Linked DNA regions of Canis lupus familiaris. The main gene of each other region encodes a partner of the protein of the gene in region 3 in a complex. Links are inferred from orthologs where the notes say so. Each region holds a gene or a part of one and is shown on either strand. Other genes may lie near its edges.

The links.
Region 1: CASK (region 3) and LIN7C share a complex: the UniProt entries of both Homo sapiens proteins name them as parts of the brain-specific heterotrimeric complex. The link is inferred for Canis lupus familiaris from reciprocal best matches to the Homo sapiens genes CASK and LIN7C.
Region 2: CASK (region 3) and LIN7A share a complex: the UniProt entries of both Homo sapiens proteins name them as parts of the brain-specific heterotrimeric complex. The link is inferred for Canis lupus familiaris from reciprocal best matches to the Homo sapiens genes CASK and LIN7A.
Region 4: the proteins of CASK (region 3) and LIN7B are in contact, whole or in part, in an NMR structure (PDB 1Y74), measured with the Mus musculus proteins. The link is inferred for Canis lupus familiaris from reciprocal best matches to the Homo sapiens genes CASK and LIN7B. Residues at the interface, in NP_001271432.1 of Mus musculus: Ala405, Arg408, Ala409, Glu411, Val412, Glu415, Ile416, Tyr419, Glu421, Asn422, Asp424, Ala425, Glu427, Leu428, Ile431, Leu432, Gln434, Phe437, Ala439, Leu440, Leu441, Thr443, His444, Val447, Ala448; in NP_035828.1 of Mus musculus: Leu10, Asp13, Val14, Arg16, Ala17, Leu20, Leu21, Arg23, Leu24, Ser27, Glu29, Leu30, Pro31, Pro32, Lys34, Leu35, Ala37, Leu38, Val41, Leu42, Ser44, Phe46, Cys47, Ile50, Arg51, Tyr54.

The regions. Positions count from the first base shown.
Region 1 is NC_049242.1:48,957,366-48,961,375, forward strand, and holds the start of LIN7C (protein lin-7 homolog C), read right to left. Parts: upstream 2,801-4,010; 5' UTR 2,734-2,800; coding exon 2,697-2,733; intron 1-2,696. UniProt on the Homo sapiens protein: Plays a role in establishing and maintaining the asymmetric distribution of channels and receptors at the plasma membrane of polarized cells.
Region 2 is NC_049236.1:23,464,641-23,468,855, forward strand, and holds the start of LIN7A (protein lin-7 homolog A), read right to left. Parts: upstream 2,801-4,215; 5' UTR 2,680-2,800; intron 2,513-2,679; 5' UTR 2,353-2,512; intron 1,677-2,352; 5' UTR 1,665-1,676; coding exon 1,583-1,664; intron 1-1,582. UniProt on the Homo sapiens protein: Plays a role in establishing and maintaining the asymmetric distribution of channels and receptors at the plasma membrane of polarized cells.
Region 3 is NC_049260.1:36,111,905-36,115,404, reverse strand, and holds part of CASK (peripheral plasma membrane protein CASK), read left to right. Parts: intron 1-54; coding exon 55-90; intron 91-1,742; coding exon 1,743-1,939; intron 1,940-3,500. UniProt on the Homo sapiens protein: Multidomain scaffolding Mg(2+)-independent protein kinase that catalyzes the phosphotransfer from ATP to proteins such as NRXN1, and plays a role in synaptic transmembrane protein anchoring and ion channel trafficking.
Region 4 is NC_049222.1:108,007,907-108,012,191, forward strand, and holds the start of LIN7B (protein lin-7 homolog B), read right to left. Parts: upstream 2,801-4,285; 5' UTR 2,721-2,800; coding exon 2,684-2,720; intron 2,280-2,683; coding exon 2,161-2,279; intron 1,895-2,160; coding exon 1,823-1,894; intron 1,200-1,822; coding exon 990-1,199; intron 1-989. UniProt on the Homo sapiens protein: Plays a role in establishing and maintaining the asymmetric distribution of channels and receptors at the plasma membrane of polarized cells.

The DNA of each region.
Region 1 (4,010 bases), on a different chromosome or scaffold from region 3:
GTAACAGGATTCAGTACTCAGGGATTAACCAGGAAAATGTAGAATACAGAGGGAAAAAAAGCCTAAGAGTATGAGCTTGCATGTTTGAGGGGGTATGTGAATACACATACGAGGGAGGGAGTGCAAAATCTGAGAATGCTAAATTTTATGTAATTAGGAGCCTTATGTTGCATACATATAAGATCTGGAAAAAATTATCTTTGAGATGAAGGAAAACTGAATATAAAATACTAAATGTTACAGAAAAGGACAGGGGTTCAAATGTGACAGACACACGAACATTGGATTGCTTCAAAATGCTGATGGTTCTATCTGGAGCTCATTAGTCACTAAAAATTTATCTATCATTATCAGTAATCAAAGCACTGAGTAGCACAAACACTGTGTGCTAGGGAAATCCTTGTTCATTTCTGAAAGAAAACCACAATTTACGTGTGGATATGAACCATTCAACAACAGATGCAGTTAGTGGCAGGAACACAGTTAAAACAATGGTAAAACACGTTCGGAAATTCCCAGGGGAAGTGTGTTTTATAAATCAATACATTTTTTAAGATTCAGAGTCATGTTGGGGCGCCTGGGTGGCTCAGTTGGTTGAGCGTCTGCCTTTGGCTCAGGTCATGATCTCAGGGTCCTGGGACGAGCCTCGGGCACTGGGAAGTCTGCTGCTCCCTTTCTCTCTGCCCCCCTCCTGGCTCCATCCCCCTCTCTCAAGTACGTAAATAACATCTTTTATTAAAACAACAAAAAAAAAGAGTCAGTCATGTTAAAACACTGTTATAACTGCCTCTATTTTTTTTTTAAACTGTGTTTTTGTACCCCAGGAGGCTAGAGTACCTATTATTCTTTGCCTCCTTTTATTTATTTTTTTTAATTTATTTTTTTTTAATTTTTATTTATTTATGATAGTCACAGAGAGAGAGAGAAGCAGAGACACAGGCAGAGGGAGAAGCAGGCTCCATGCACCGGGAGCCCGATGTGGGATTCGATCCCGGGTCTCCAGGATCGTGCCCTGGGCCAAAGGCAGGCGCCAAACCGCTGCACCACCCAGGGATCCCCTTTGCCTCCTTTTAAAAGGAAAAAGCTCTAAACTTTATACTAATACCGCAAGCCTGGAACTTTTTCTTCATAGAATTAATACGGCCTTCTTTGTGTATGCAGCTGCAAAAGTAGGAATAAATGTAGTGAAACAAGCAGTAGCTTTCCCGATTTCAGCTAATAAAAGCTTCAACTGATGTTGATCACATGCAACGGAATCAGACTTTCCCCATTCTGATTTCCCACAATTCAAATGACTGGTGAACCCGACTGTTGGCTCATGGATTACTTTAATCTACAAAGTCACAACATGTAGGCTATATAAATATTTCCAATCAACAAGAGATGGAGACGAAACAACTCTTTGCTGAACCTCAAGTGTACCTCGTTACGTGTTCACATGTCCTCCAACTGAATCAGGTTTTGACTATTTTAGAAGACGCTCAGGACCCTGATCGTGAGGCACTAATTTTACACTGAGCGCTGCTGGCAGTGTTTGTTAACCAGAACTCTAGGGAAGCGACAGTGGGTGTCCTCTTTCTTGTCCGGCTACATGGCAGCCACTAGGAATTCATCCTACTAAGCTGCTGAGCCTTCTGTCATAGACCCGACAAGGACTCTGAAAAAGCAAAAAAGCAAAAAAACAAAAAAGCAAAACAAAACAAAACAAAACAAACCAAAGCCGCGACCACCCCCCTATAGGGTAAGTGCCAGAGGTGCCGTCTCACAGTCCGTGCTGCGCTTGCAAATACAAAAGACCGCCAGCCGGCGTGTCGGAATCCCACCACCACCACCGGCTCTCAAAAAGGAGAACACCTACTCCTGCTAACGGAGAACACACCTGCTCCCATCTGCAGAGCACAGCGCCGCTGCGCTCAGGAGGAGGAGGAGGAGGAGGAGGAGGTGGTCACGGTCTCGGGGCTGACCGAGAAAGTCTCCCCAGAGGACCTTCCTCCTGGGTCAGAAAGGATGCTGTGACTCGGGCGCCCGGGGCGGGGGGGCGGTGGAGCATCTGCCCGCGGCCCAGGGCGTGACCCCGGGTCAAGGGGTCGAGTCCCGCGTCAGGCCTGCTGCTCCCTCCGCCTGCGTCTCTGCCTCCCTCTCTGTGTATTCTCATGGATACGTATTTTTTAAAGATTTTATTTATTTACTCATGAGAACACACAGAGAGGGAGGCAGAGGCAGCAGCAGGCCCCACGCAGGACTCGAACCCGGGACCCGGGGTCACGCCCTGGGCCGCGGGCAGATGCTCCACCGCCGAGCCCCCTGCACCCCGCAGCGAGGCCGGCGGCGAGGCGCACCGCGGAGCAGCAGCGCCCGGCTCCCGAGTCGAGGCCGCGACCGCACCTGCCGCGTCCGCCGCGTTACGTAACCGCCCGCGGGGCCGGCGCGGCGCTCGCCTCGGGGGGACCCGGCTCCGGACGCCGCCCCGGGAGCGCGTGGGAGCGCGTGGGCGGCGAGGGCGGCGAGGGCGGCGAGGGCGGCGAGGGCGGGTGGGCTGCGCCCCGGGCACGGCCGCTGCCGGCGGGGCGGGCGCCGAGGAGCGCGCGGGGCCCCGCCCGGGGGACCGCAGGCGCCCCCTCCCCCAGCGGCCGGGCGCGGCGACCTTCGGCGACGGGCAGCCGGGATCCGGGGCGCGGGGCCTCGGCCGCACTCACCCCGCTCCAGCCGCACGGGCTCCCCCAGCGCCGCCATCTTCTCCCTTTGCCCGCGACCCACAGGAAATGACGACACGGGGCGCGGCGGGGGCGGGGCTTAGCGGCCGCCGGGGGCGGGGCCTGGCCGCATCGCGAGAGTCGGCGCGGTGCTCCGGCGGGGGCGGGGGGCTCGCTGGGGGCCGCCCTGGGTCCCCTCCGCTCCGCGGCGCCGATTGCACACACGCGGTCTTAAGGACCTGGCCCGGGGCACCTGCGTGGTTCCCGGTCGTGACTCCGGGGCCCCGGGTTCGAGTCCCGCGCCGGCCCCCAAGTCCTCCCCAGCTCCTCCCCGGAGCTCCGCGTCGGGAACCTGCAGCGGCCCCTCCCGCGCCGCTTCCCGCCCCCGGAGACCCGCAGGCTCCGAGCCCTGGGAGCCCGGCCGCCTCCGCCCCCAGAGCGACCTCCAGCGGCGGGGCGCCGCCCACTGCCGCGCCCGGCCCTGCAGCCCTCCCGCTGCACCCACCGCGCCTCCCGCTCCCCGGCTGCTCGGGAGGCACCACTGGGCCCAGCTGGGGGTTCCCCAGCGTGTTCCCCTCGGGCCCTGCTGGTCCCCGGCCCTGCACCCCTCCCGCTGCACCTGCCTCCCCCTCCCGGGCTGCTCAGGAGGCACCACTGGGCCCAGCTGGGGGTTCCCCAGCGTGTTCTCCTCCATCCCTGCTGGTCCCCGGCCCTGCACCCCTCCAGCTGCACCTGCCTCCCCCTCCCCGGCTGCTCGGGAGGCACCACTGGGTCCAGCTGGGGGTTCCCCAGCGTGTTCCCCTCGGGCCCTGCTGGTCCCCAGCCCTGCACCCCTCCCGCTGCACCTGCCTCCCCCTCCCCGGCTGCTCGGGAGGCACCACTGGGTCCAGCTGGGGGTTCCCCAGCGTGTTCCCCTCGGGCCCTGCTGGTCCCCAGCCCTGCACCCCTCCCGCTGCACCCGCCTCCCCCTCCCTGGCTGCTCGGGAGGCACCACTGGGCCCAGCTGGGGGTTCCCCAGCGTGTTCCCCTCGGGCCCTGCTGGTCCCCGGCCCTGCACCCCTCCCGCTGCACCCGCCTCCCCCTCCCTGGCTGCTCAGGAGGCACCACTGGGCCCAGCTGGGGGTTCCCCAGCGTGTTCTCCTCCATCCCTGCTGGTCCCCAGCCCTGCACCCCTCCCGCTGCACCTGCCTCCCCCTCCCCGGCTGCTCGGGAGGCACCACTGGGTCCAGCTGGGGGTTCCCCAGCGTGTTCCCCTCGGGCCCTGCTGGTCCCCAGCCCTGCACCCCTCCCGCTGCACCCGCCTCCCCCTCCCTGGCT
Region 2 (4,215 bases), on a different chromosome or scaffold from region 3:
TTTTTTTTTTTTTTTTTTTGGTAGGAACAGTTTTCAGAACCTTTTCTTTCACTGGTTTAAATGATGCCATCAACTCATTAATCACAGTTTAATAATGTAGAGGGGAAAAATATGTATATGCATTGACTTCATGTACAGCAATGATGCCAATAACTTCCTCATCCATCAATCACAGACCTTGCAGCTAGCTGCTGGTTCATTTATTCAGTTGCATCCAGTCTCATTCTGCCTCTTGAGCTACTTATTACGTGAACCCAATCACACTGGGAAAGGACAGGTACAGTCTGGCTGCAAACAAGAACAAAGTTTAAGGGCAGATCTAGGTCTGACTGTGCTTCCTCTGCACCACCCAGTCAGGAAATCTAAGGTCTGAGGCAGAAACCCAAAGAGCAAAACGTTTTTAGTAGTCCTGATACATCAGCTTGCTCAGGGAAGGCAATTTTCTTGGGAGTTTGTTTTTTTCTTTTTTTTTTTCTTTCTCCCAGTGTAGTCGTTTTACTGGGGATATATATGTACAAGCTGATTCAGTCAATGGGGCAATATAAGAGCTCGTTACGTTAAAACAGAAATTCGTAGGAAATCCATAATTCCTAATGGCTTGCCATCTGTTTGGGTCGTGGCGGCAATGGATTTACGCTGCTGTAGGGTCGGTGACGATCCCGGGCTGGAATCCTGGGTTGCACAGTGGGTTTGTGAGCTCTGTAACCACCGCTCTTAATTTGCAGGCTTGCACATCAGCATTCGGCAGCAGACAATCAACTATTACCTTTCTTTTTCTTTCTTTTCTTTGTTTCTTTTTTTTTTTTTTTTTTTTTTTTTTTAGATTCTGCACTCTCACCCCCCAAGGAAGGCGGCTGCGGGCTCCGTGCGGAACCTGCTCGGGCGCCTTGCAGTCCGGCGGCCCGGCCAGTGCGGGGCCCGCGGAGCGCGCCGGAGGCCGGGCTGCAGCTGCGGGATGCGCTCCCGCCCCGCGCCCCCCGCGCCCCCGGAGCCCTCGAGCGCTGCGCTCCCCGCGTCGGGCGGCGGCCTCGGGGGGGGGGGGGGACGCGGGCGGCGCAGCGCCGGGGGGCACCCGGGCCCCGGGGACCCCAGCCTCCGCCAAGAGTTGCGCCGCAAGCCCGCCTTCCGCGGCCCCGGGGCTGGGGGACGGCGAGGCCGGGGCGCAGGGCAGGGGGCTCCCGGGACAGCCGCTCCCCGCCGCCGCCGCCCGGACCCCGCGCGCGCACCCCCGCCCCGGCCCCGCCGCCCGGACAAACTTGCTCCCGCCGGCTCCCCCCGCAGCCGCGGTCTCCGCCCCCCCCCCGGAGCCTGCGCCGCCCGGACAAGCCGGCGCCCCGGGGTACGGGGGGCGCGGGGGGCACGGGGGTCACGGAGGGCACGGGGGGCGCGGGGGCGCGGGGGGCACGGGGGTCACGGAGGCGCGGGGGGCGCGGGGGCGCGGAAGGGGGCAAAGTGTCCCGCTCTGCGCGCCCGCCCCCGCCGCCCCTGCCGGAGCGCGCCCGGCCGCCGCGGGGTGCGGGGTGCGGGGCGCGGGGCGCGGGGCGCGGGGTGCGGGGCGCGGGGCGCGCCGCCGCCGCCTTACCTCTGTCCAGGGTGAGCGGCTGGACCACTGTCAGTGTCGCCATGTCTGCCGCGGGAGCCGAAGCGACGCTCCGCTTCAGCATCAGCCGCCGCTGCTAGTGAGAAAAAGAGGAGGAGACTGGGGCGGGGGCGGGGGCGCCGTGGGGGCGGGGGCGGGGGCGGGGCGGGGCGGCGCGGGGGGGCCGGCGGGGGGCCCGGCGGGGCGGCGGCGCAGGTAGCGGAGCGCGGAGGGCGGCTGGCCGGCAACTTGGCGCGGCCGCCGAGCGCGAACCGGGCAGCCCGCGGGCCGCCCCTGCAACTTCGCACGCAGATGAAATGGGCGGGGAGTGCGTGCGCCTCCCGGGAGGGGCGGGGGAGGGGGCGCGGGGGGGGGAGGGCGCGGGGGAGGCGGGGGGGCGGGGGGATGGGGAGGGGGCACGGAGGAGGGGGCGTGGGAGGGGGCGGGGCGATGGGGCGCGGGGGGGCACAGGAGGGGGCGGGGGATGGGAGCACGGGAGGGGGGCGCACGGGAGGGGGCGCACGGGAGGGGGCGTGAGGGGGACGGGGAATGGGGCACAGGAGGGGAGGCACGAGAGGAGGGCGGGGGATGGGGCGCGGGGGGGCACAGGAGGGGTTGCGGGGGGAGGGGCGGGGGGAGGCGTGGGGGGTGAGCGGAGGGACGGGGCACGGGGGAGGTGGGGGGGTGCAGGGGGGAGGCACGGGGTGGGGGGGAGGAGGAGGATGGATTTTTTTTTTTCCGGATTAAGAGCAATTGTCCAGCCAGGAGCCTACCCCTTAGAACATGCTTCTGGTCCAGAAATGCTGGGGTTCCGTGAGCAGCGGCAGCTACTTTGTGTTCGAGTTCCTTTGGAACGCCCGGCCCAACGGTGTGCCCGGTAACTGACTCAGGGCTCCATCACTCCAGGAGGGGGTGGCCGAGGACCTAACGGACCTTAAGCACAAACTTCTTAAAAATGGTTTTAAATTAAACCACAGAGAGAGAGAGAGAGAGAGAGAGAGAGACATTTGTGTCCCTCGGTGTGAAAAATACGGAGGCAGCCCTTTTTCGGGTTGATCCGCACCCAGGGTTACCAGAGTGGCCACTGATGATTGACTAACCTGCGTGGCAGGCGGGAAGCCAGGAGCGCTGCTTGCCTCCCTGGTCACAGGCCGCCTGGGAGCTGGGGACAGGCCCTGCCTTCATGCAGCCTGTGGTCGTGTGGGACAGGATGTCGTTAAAAGGGTCGTTTAAGAGTCGATTGGTCAGGCGTCAGTGACTAGAACCTTCAAATGCTGCCTGTGACCCCTTCACTCCATTCGATGGCTTTCACTCTGCTGCCACTATAGGGACTTTCATTCCCTGATCAAGAAAATAAGAAGCACATAGAAATCTTAGAGAAGCAGAATGGTGATGCCTGTGGGTTCAGGAGTGGAAGTGGCAGAGCTGCCTCCAGCCCCTTCCCCGTGACAAAGCAAAATGGTTTTGGCTAGCAATGCACCCTTGAAGGCAGACACGATTTTACAGCAAAATATTGGCATATCATCCATTTCATTGTCTTCCGGATACAATATGGGTGGTTTCTGGAGATCTTTTCCATCCCATGTTTTACATTTGGAAAAAAAAAAAAAAAAGATTTCCCCAGTGATTTGAGCAACTCAAAGATGACTGTCCATACACCACATTGATCCTAAAGACCTACTTAAAATAGTAGTTCAACATGCCTGTATTTCATTTGGTTTTTAAGAAAGAACTCTGATCTTGAAATTCAAGTCTTAGCTATGTGCTCTTCAGAAATCACAGGATCTCTCACCGATCCCCTTTACTCATCTGTCAAACAAAGGAATTAATAACCTTCAATTTCACTGAGATTCTGTAAAATGAAGAACTAATTCTACCCTACAATCTGAGTTTTGTGAGGGCCTGATGATATTGTGCATGTGAACTGCTTTGAAAACAGGAAAGTATGTACGCGCTTACTCACACCAGAAACCTACACCCCACCTGAACCAGGTGGCAAGCAGTGTGCTAGGTGCTTGGCCCACAAAGATTAGAGACGTGGCCCTTTCCCTGGACAATGGCCCAGTCCAGGTGGGGAGACACCTGGACAATGGCCCAGTCCAGGTCGGGAGACAAGAAATGAGCAAGCAAGCTGTGAGAATTCCATGCGGTAAGTGCTCTAAGCAGCATGGAAAGGACAGGAGGAAGCAAGCTTCTGGCTGATGATCATCATTCTCATCCCCTAAGCCAAACAACAGAAAAAAAGTTACACTGTGCGTAATAAACAGCAGAGTCTGTTCCCTGGATTTGCACGAAATATCAAACCTCATTCAATAATTGAGGATGAAAGGAACACACAAATCCGCTGGTCACTAATGTAGTTCTTTTAACAATCTACTTTATTATGAATATGTATTTGAGCGGCTTGATTCATGAGTCTAAAAGCCGTAAGTGTACCTATTTCAGCACAAATCTTAGGTTGTGAGGTCTAGGAAATTGGGCTTTTTGTCGTTTTGTTTTCTGATGTATCCCCAGTACCAAACATTTTATAGCCTGCTTCTAGACTTGTACTTTGAGCTCCCCAATTGAAAATTTGCTCTTTCATAATCTCTCCATGTTGACTCTGTAGAGTTTTGGTAAAGATTAAAAGAAAAAGT
Region 3 (3,500 bases):
GTACTCTTGAAAAGTAAATGAAAATTTTTCTCCTGGGTTGGCTTTATTCTACAGGACTTGCCATCAACTACCCAACCAAAAGGACGACAGGTGAATAGATACCCTCTATAGAAACTTCTCTAAACTGAGCTGCTAATAGCCAATCCTTTATTAACCCTTTCCATCCCATAATGTCTGCATTTTGGACCATAACATTTAAGCATTGAGAGCTTGTACCATTTCATTTTAACACATTACACGTGACTAATTTTCTATAAGGATTTTTTTCTTTACATCTTTGTAGCTGTGATGGTTATTGTAATTTCAACCTGATAAACTTGTGTTGATGGTTAAGAATTCAGCCTTTAAGGGGGTCTTACAGGCCTGCCTCTGAAGTTGGGGAAAAAAATTGTTAAAGGTAACAAAATTCCTAGAATTCTAAGAATAACTAAAATCTACGTGCTGATGAACATGTTTAAGCAGTAATTTTCTAAAATCTCAAGGCTTTTTCCTAATTTGTTTTTGCATGTGTAAATCTAAAAGCCATTTACAATGAAAACTCGGAACATCCTGGCTTTCCATCCCAATATGCCTCTTTTGGGTCACATGGGGAAAGTGAAGTGCTGCCTGCCACAAGCAAGCAGCTTCCAGTTTGCCAGCACTTTAAGAGTATGGATTTCAGGTGCAAAGGCAGAGACATGTTAATTTTATAGGCTGGATTTCTGATAAGAAAACTTGAACAGAATAATCACACAATAGTTCCAAAGCCTTCAGGTTGGTTTTACAGTGACTGAAACATTAATATTCAAATATAATTTCAAGAGATAGAATTTTATGGGAATTTTCTTGGAATTTGGTGTCCAGAAATAATCCAATTTGGCCTTAAGGTGTGCACAAATTGGCATCTGAGAGAATTCACCCTGTAGTTTATTTTTAAGACCGCATAAGTGATGCAGCATTAGATATCTAGCATTTCTTAAAATGCTGCCATATGATAACCCCTTGTAGACTAATCTGTTTCCTTTTATAATATCTACTAATTACATTGACATATCCTGAAACTCAGAGCTTTGAATTCTGCATATCTTGAAGCTCTGTGCTGCTTTCAAGTGGCAAAGCTTGGATTCAATGTCCTTTTTCTTTAAGAAGAGTAAAATACAAATACAAAACCTAAATCCTTCTTACATACCTAATAACATGATTTTTTAAATGCTTTAAAAACTGTTTAAATTACATTTAAGTTTATCGACAGTGTGTAGACATGCTGCCAGTTGTCATGTAGGCATTTTAACTAAAGCAAGATGCCAACACAGAGTGCTTGCTACTTTTGTACCACATGCTGCTTCAGGGTTAAAACTTTCCCTGAATGTTTGTGTATATGGTGACAAAGCTGCCACATGATCATGACAACTTGCCCATAACATCAGCTAAATATATGCAGATTTAAAAATGGTAAGCGTGCGTCTCTATGATTAGAGACCTATTCTGTTACAGTAAAAGCAGAAGCTAAGTCTTGATCTTTATTAAACAAGAATTGTTAAGTGTTCCCTCCAAATAAAAACAGCAAAGGTATGAATCTATACACATCAAAGGTATCCCATCATTTCTAGTGGTAGCAATTCTGTGTCCTATCTCCATGCGTCATTTGGCTTCACCATCTAATGTCCTGTTTGTATTGTAAGTGTTGGTGTGTGGTTATTAGGTTAGAGCTGTTTGCTTTCACATCGCCGAGGCAGCCCTTCTTACAAACTCCTGTTTTATAGATCTATGTAAGAGCACAATTTGAATATGATCCGGCCAAGGATGACCTCATCCCCTGCAAAGAAGCTGGCATTCGATTCAGAGTTGGCGACATTATCCAGATTATTAGTAAGGATGATCACAACTGGTGGCAGGGTAAACTGGAAAACTCCAAAAATGGAACCGCAGGTCTCATTCCTTCTCCTGAGCTCCAGGAATGGTATGTTGTTATTCCTTCCATTTTGCTTGACAATAAAAACAAAGCCCTGACCATCCTTTTTGACAACCTTCTATTCTGTTGTGTAAAACCTATTTGCCTCCACTAGCTAAAGTTCAGATTAGTCATCCAAGAACTCTAAATCCTCAACATCTAGTAAATTCCTGCTTAGAGTCAAGTCTTGGTTTTACATAGAAGGGGAGAGGAAAGTCAAGAGAGAGAGAGGTTGAGCGGCTAGCCTCAAGTCATGGTCCCAGTCACCTCATGCTGCCTTAGAGCCCCCCACTCCCACATGCTGCTTCAATCCTTTTAGAACCATGTTTTGTTTTGTTTTGTTGTTTTGTTGTTTACAGATTTTATTTATTTATTTGAGATAAAGCAGTGGGAGTAGCAGAGGGAGAGGGAGAAGCAGACTCCCCACTGAGCAGGTGAGCAGGGAGCCCAATGCAGGGCTCAATCCCAGCATCCTGGGATCAGGACCTGAACTGAAGGCAGATGCTTAACTGACAGAGCCACCCAGATGCCCCTGTTTGGTTTGGTTTTAAAACAAACCCTCTCCTTACCCGTTAGCATGGTCTCCCCATTCTCATTCTACCCCCCACCCCCACCCCAGCAGGCAAAAGCTCAAAGGCCATGATTCAGGGTCACTCAGGATATTTGAAGGTAAAAATGGGTTTTGCCTTTGGGAAAAAAAAAAGAGCAGCCAGAAGCTTCATTCTTTACCTTGCCAAGCCTTTAAAAACACTTACTTTGTTGGAAAGTTTAAGCAGTGAAAACAGGTTAAAGTCAGATAGCTTTTCAACACCATTTTGAACTGTGAGAAAAGGAGTCCCAAATTACTATATATTACTATCTATTTTGGTGAAATCCAAATGCTGTTGTTACAATTCACTTACTTGAACTCTGTTTTGAAAGATGCTGGTGATTTTGCTGTGGCTGGTACTTTGGCAATGTGTGAGAGATCTAGCAAGGAGATGACTCTATCTGAGGTTGTTTCACACAACCCAAAACAGCAACCATTAGACATTGGGGCAGTCTATCCCCAAATACTGGAACCTAGCTAACAGACGCCAGAGGCTCCGAGTCCACCAATGTTGATAATGGTTGATAATGGTTTTTCTCACTAAAGGGATTTCTCAGTGAATTTCCTTTGCGTGATTGCCTCTGTTAGCTATCCTTTGTTTCCAAAAACGTTCTTACGTTTAGATTGTCAGAGCTGATAAGAACTTCAGATGCCATCATTTAATGCGGAGACTCATAGACCCGGATAGAGGAAGTGGCAGGCAGCCTTCCATCTGGCACTGCTTTGCAGTCCAAACTTTAAGAAAATTGTTTTTTTTTAAAAGAAAGAAAGAAAGAAAGAAAGAAAGAAAGAAAGAAAGAAAGAAAGAAAGAAAGAAAGAAAGAAAGAAGAAAGAAAGAAAGTTTTTCTTTTTCTTTTTTTTCTTTTTTATTTCTTCTTTTTTTTTTTTTGAAAGGAGAAATGTCTTTATTTTCCTGTGAGGGACTGTAGTTCTTGACGGACCAGGGGCCCCATAATCACAGCTGGCCCTGAGTCACAGAT
Region 4 (4,285 bases), on a different chromosome or scaffold from region 3:
TGGGACCTACTGTTGGTGAGCCTGGTACCAGCCTGAGTTGTCAAGGCCTCGTGTCCTCATGGGAGAGTCCTTAATTCTTGGCTCAGTGTCCTCCCTCAAAACCTTCCACATTCTTCATGGTAGGGACAAGCCCTAACTGCCCTCTCTAAGACAGACCTCCAGGTCCATGTTTACCCACTCTGTCCCCAAAGCCTGCTAATCCTCAGCCCCTTTCCTCTTACTGACTCCCTACCCTGTCCTCACCATCCTGATCCCAGCTTAGACCTCATCCTTTCTCCGGTGGACTTTCACTTCACCTCCACCCTAGAACTTCTGGCTTCCAGTCTCTGCCTTCAGTCCATCCCCTAGAGAGTCCCAAAGCAATCCTTCTATACTTCCAAGCGGAGCCTATCCTTCTCCTATTCATGGCCTCCACATCACTCCCCAATCCCCAACCCTTGAGACAAAGTCCCAGCTTCTCAGGCTGTGACTGAGGCCCCAACTACTGATCCAGTTGTGCTTCCATCTATTTCTAACTACAGTGATTTTAATTAACTATGTGCTCCAGTCCTTCCCCCAGACTAAGCCCTTTCTGTTCAGCTGGAAGGAATATAGAGTCACAGTCCCTACCTGCAACATCCTTAGCTGGTAATACTCTATCTTATTTGCCTGGAGAACTCCTCTTCATCCTTCAAAACCCAACTCAAATGTTCCTTTCTCTGCAAAAACTCCCCTGATCTATACTGGTCTGGGCCCAAATGTGGCTCCCACAGTGCTTTGTGCCTCATTATTATCTCCCCAGATTAGGACTATTCCAGTCAATCTCCTTCACCAAAAAGGGAGTCCTTGAATACAGCAGCTGAGGCCAACTTCTCTCCAGGTCTGTAGCAGTGCCCAGCACAAGGCCAGACAAAGAGGCAGTACTCAATGGTTGCATGTTGAATGAATGTCAAAAGCAGGAACTGTGCTACCTTGAATACACTGTGAGCCCAGCCTCAGGCCCCACTCACCACACCATTCACTGACAGCAGCTGGTCCCCACGTTTCAGGCCTCCATGGCGGTCAGCCACGCCTCCAGGGATGACGCGGGAGATGTAGATGGGGGAGTTCTGCTCCTTGCCCCCCATGATGTTAAAGCCCAGGCCCTCATCAGTCTTGGGCAGCTCCACTACCCTGGGATGTGCATGGCCCTCACTGGCTGTGAAGGCTGCCACTGTGGCCTGCAAGAGAGAAGGCACTGAGAGGTGAGGGCCCCTCCATAGTGGGCAGGTGGGGAAGAGGGGAGGATCTGGGACAGAGAAAGCCAGCGATTGGGGGACTACTTTCCCCACGCAGGGGACACCTGCCACAGTTCAATGCAAGCTCACACTGTAACGAGTCTCTGAATTCCCTTTGGAACTTTCAGACATGTCAAAAAGAATGTCTCCATTTGGTGTGAGTGTGTTGAATATTCAACACTTGCCAATCTCGATGTTTAGTAGAGAAAAACAAAGCCTGGAAAGAGCCAAGGGCCTCTAGGAAGCAGCAAGAAACAGCATACAACTTATAGTTTAATAAGATTTCGGTGTTTCATGCTATTTCATTGTATAAGTGATAATTAAAAGGTATCTTCTTGTCAGGCTTCGGTACTAGTTTCCATTTGAAGTTGCTAAAGATGCCTTTATATGACATCTAAGTACAACATATGAGATTATTTAAAATATCAGTAAATAAGAGCAACGGTGGTACACAGATTTGGCAAAAATCTGAAGGAAGAAACAGGCATGAGTGACTTTAGGAAGTTACTAAGTTAAGACCACGCAGTTCAGTGGATACCACGAGTGACGGGGTGGGGGGCGCCTACCTTGGCTGTGGCGTGGGCCCGGATCTCAGCACTGCCCGTGATGTCCAGCGTGTCATAGAGCTGCTCATACACCTGGTGAAGACGCAGCAGCATCAGGGAACCACCAGCCCCTCCTCCCTTCCACACCAGAGTCCAGGCCCACAGACCCTCCCATCCAAGGGCTGGTCCCGCCCCCCGGAGCCGGAGGAAACTACAACTCCCGGAGAACCACGGAGCTGAAGCGCGGGCCCCCCAAGGCGGGCCGCCCCCGGCGCTGCTGGGAGGTGTAGTCCCTGGGCTCGGGGCGACGACCTGGACGGCGGCCGCCCGCTTGTGCCCTGGCGCCGCACCGCTCTCACCTCCCGGATGGCGGAGCAGAAGCGGCTCTGCAGGACTCGCTGGAGGGCCTGCAGCTTCTGCGGGGGCAGCTCCCCGCTGCGCTGGAGCCGCTCGAGGAGCTCCACCGCCCGGGACACGTCTGCGGGGCGGGGGCGGGGCGCACAGACACAGAGTCAGAGACGCGGAGAAGCACGGAGAGATGCGGCCAGAAACCGAGTAAGGGCGAGCGCTGACAGATCCCGGGAAAGGCAGCCGAATCCCAGTCGGACACCCGCAGAGTTGCCGGCAGCAGGGGGGCCTGCGGCCGGCCACGCACCCTGCGCCCCAAGATCCCCATAGGCACACACGCAGGGCTGTGCAGTAGGCGCCCCTCCTGGGCCAGCTAAGCCCACGGGCCCTCCCACACCCACAAACCGCGGCGCCCCGCCCCGCCCACCCCCGCTCGATCTGCCCGCCCACGCCGGGGCCTGGCCGGGGAGGGGCGGGGACCGGGGTCCCGGACGCGGGCCACGGCCGGTGGGCAGGGCCCCCTGGCGCGCTTACCCCGCTCCAGCCCCAGCGGCTCCACCAGCGCAGCCATGTCTGCGCCGCCGCCGCCGCTAGCCGCCCGCCTGCCGGGTCTCCGCGAGGAGGGCGGGGCTGCGCGAGGCCACGCCCCGGACGGCGGGCGCCCCCTGCGAGGGCGCGACCAGACGTGCGCTCCGCTCCCGGCGCCGCGGCCGCCCCACCTGCTGCCACGCCTGTCTGGCTTCCCGGCGCACAGCCGCCAACGGGCTGTCCGGTTTCCTACCCCGACTCTTGCAGCTTGCCTGCCTTGACGCCATACCTGTCTCTTCCTTTTTTCCACGTTCATTGGACAAACATGTTAAACATCTGGACACCATGGTGAGCAGGGCAGACAAGCCCACTGCCTTCAGCGAACTTAAGTCTTTGGGGCAGGGGAAGTAGACAACCAACTACTGCTGGTTAAGATATTGGGAGTGAGGAGGTGGTGTTCTAGGAGGGACGCTGGCACAGAGTCCTTGGAGGGAAGATTATCGGGAGGTGGGGCGTGGATCATATTCCAGGCAGAAAGAGCCCACGGAGTAAAAACCAGAATAGTTCATGATGGTGAAAAGGTAGGCAGGATAGTTTATGCACGGCCTTGTATGTTGGCATATACATGATTTTGGCCTTCATGTTAACTCCTAAAAGTAAAATGTGATACTCAAATACGTATTTTAAGATCCATGTAACCCCGGTGTGGGGACTGGATTGGAGGGCAGCAACAATGGAAGCATGGGGACCAGTCATGAGACTCTCCCAGCAATCCTGCGATGGCTTGGGCCAGGATAGGCGGTCAGGAGGATAGGTGGACAGATTTGGAAATACCTGGACCTGCTTGGTGAGTAGCCGTGTTCATTAGTTGGAGGCAAGATAACCTACTACCAAAAGGACCCAGAACTGGGTCCCCAAAACTCACATTTCAAAGTTGGGAAGAAGACAAAGAATGGCCAGGTTGGGAGACCTGTTAAGAGAGTGCGGTTAAAAAAAAAAAAAAAGTAGCCAGTGGTATCAGATACCAAAGAAATGCAGGAAATGTACACAAAACTATAGAGAAGTCTGCTGCCCATCCATCTGCACAATCAGCTGGCTGGGGATATGGAATTCTGAAAAGGAATTTTGCTGAGAGGACTGGAGCCAGTTTGTCTATCCTTCTCCTTCATAGCATTTTTTTCTCTCATTTTAACAACAAAAATGAGTTTAAAGTGAAAAAATCAGGTAACACAGAGGGCTAATACTGAGAAGCACCAGCCCCTGTCCTAATTCTCCCCACTGCAAGAGGCAACAACTTACAGATGTTTAGTCCTGCTAGTTGTTTGTGTATCTAAGGAACCTATTTCTCAATTTATCAATTTTAGATGTTAGTAATGCATTACATATTGATTTTCTGCTCTTACCACCTTTCCACTGTCTTCCCATGGTAGTTTTATGCTACCAGTTTTTAGGGCAATCAATAAAGTGCTCCCATTAAGTCTAAGTACTTACTGCTTACTAAAAGAGCCCAAGCAGTGTTCTGTGATTACATTGCCTTTCCTGAGCACCTTCTGTTTTCTCCTGTGATGTCAATCTGCTTTTCTTTCACGATATTATCAATTTTTCAAA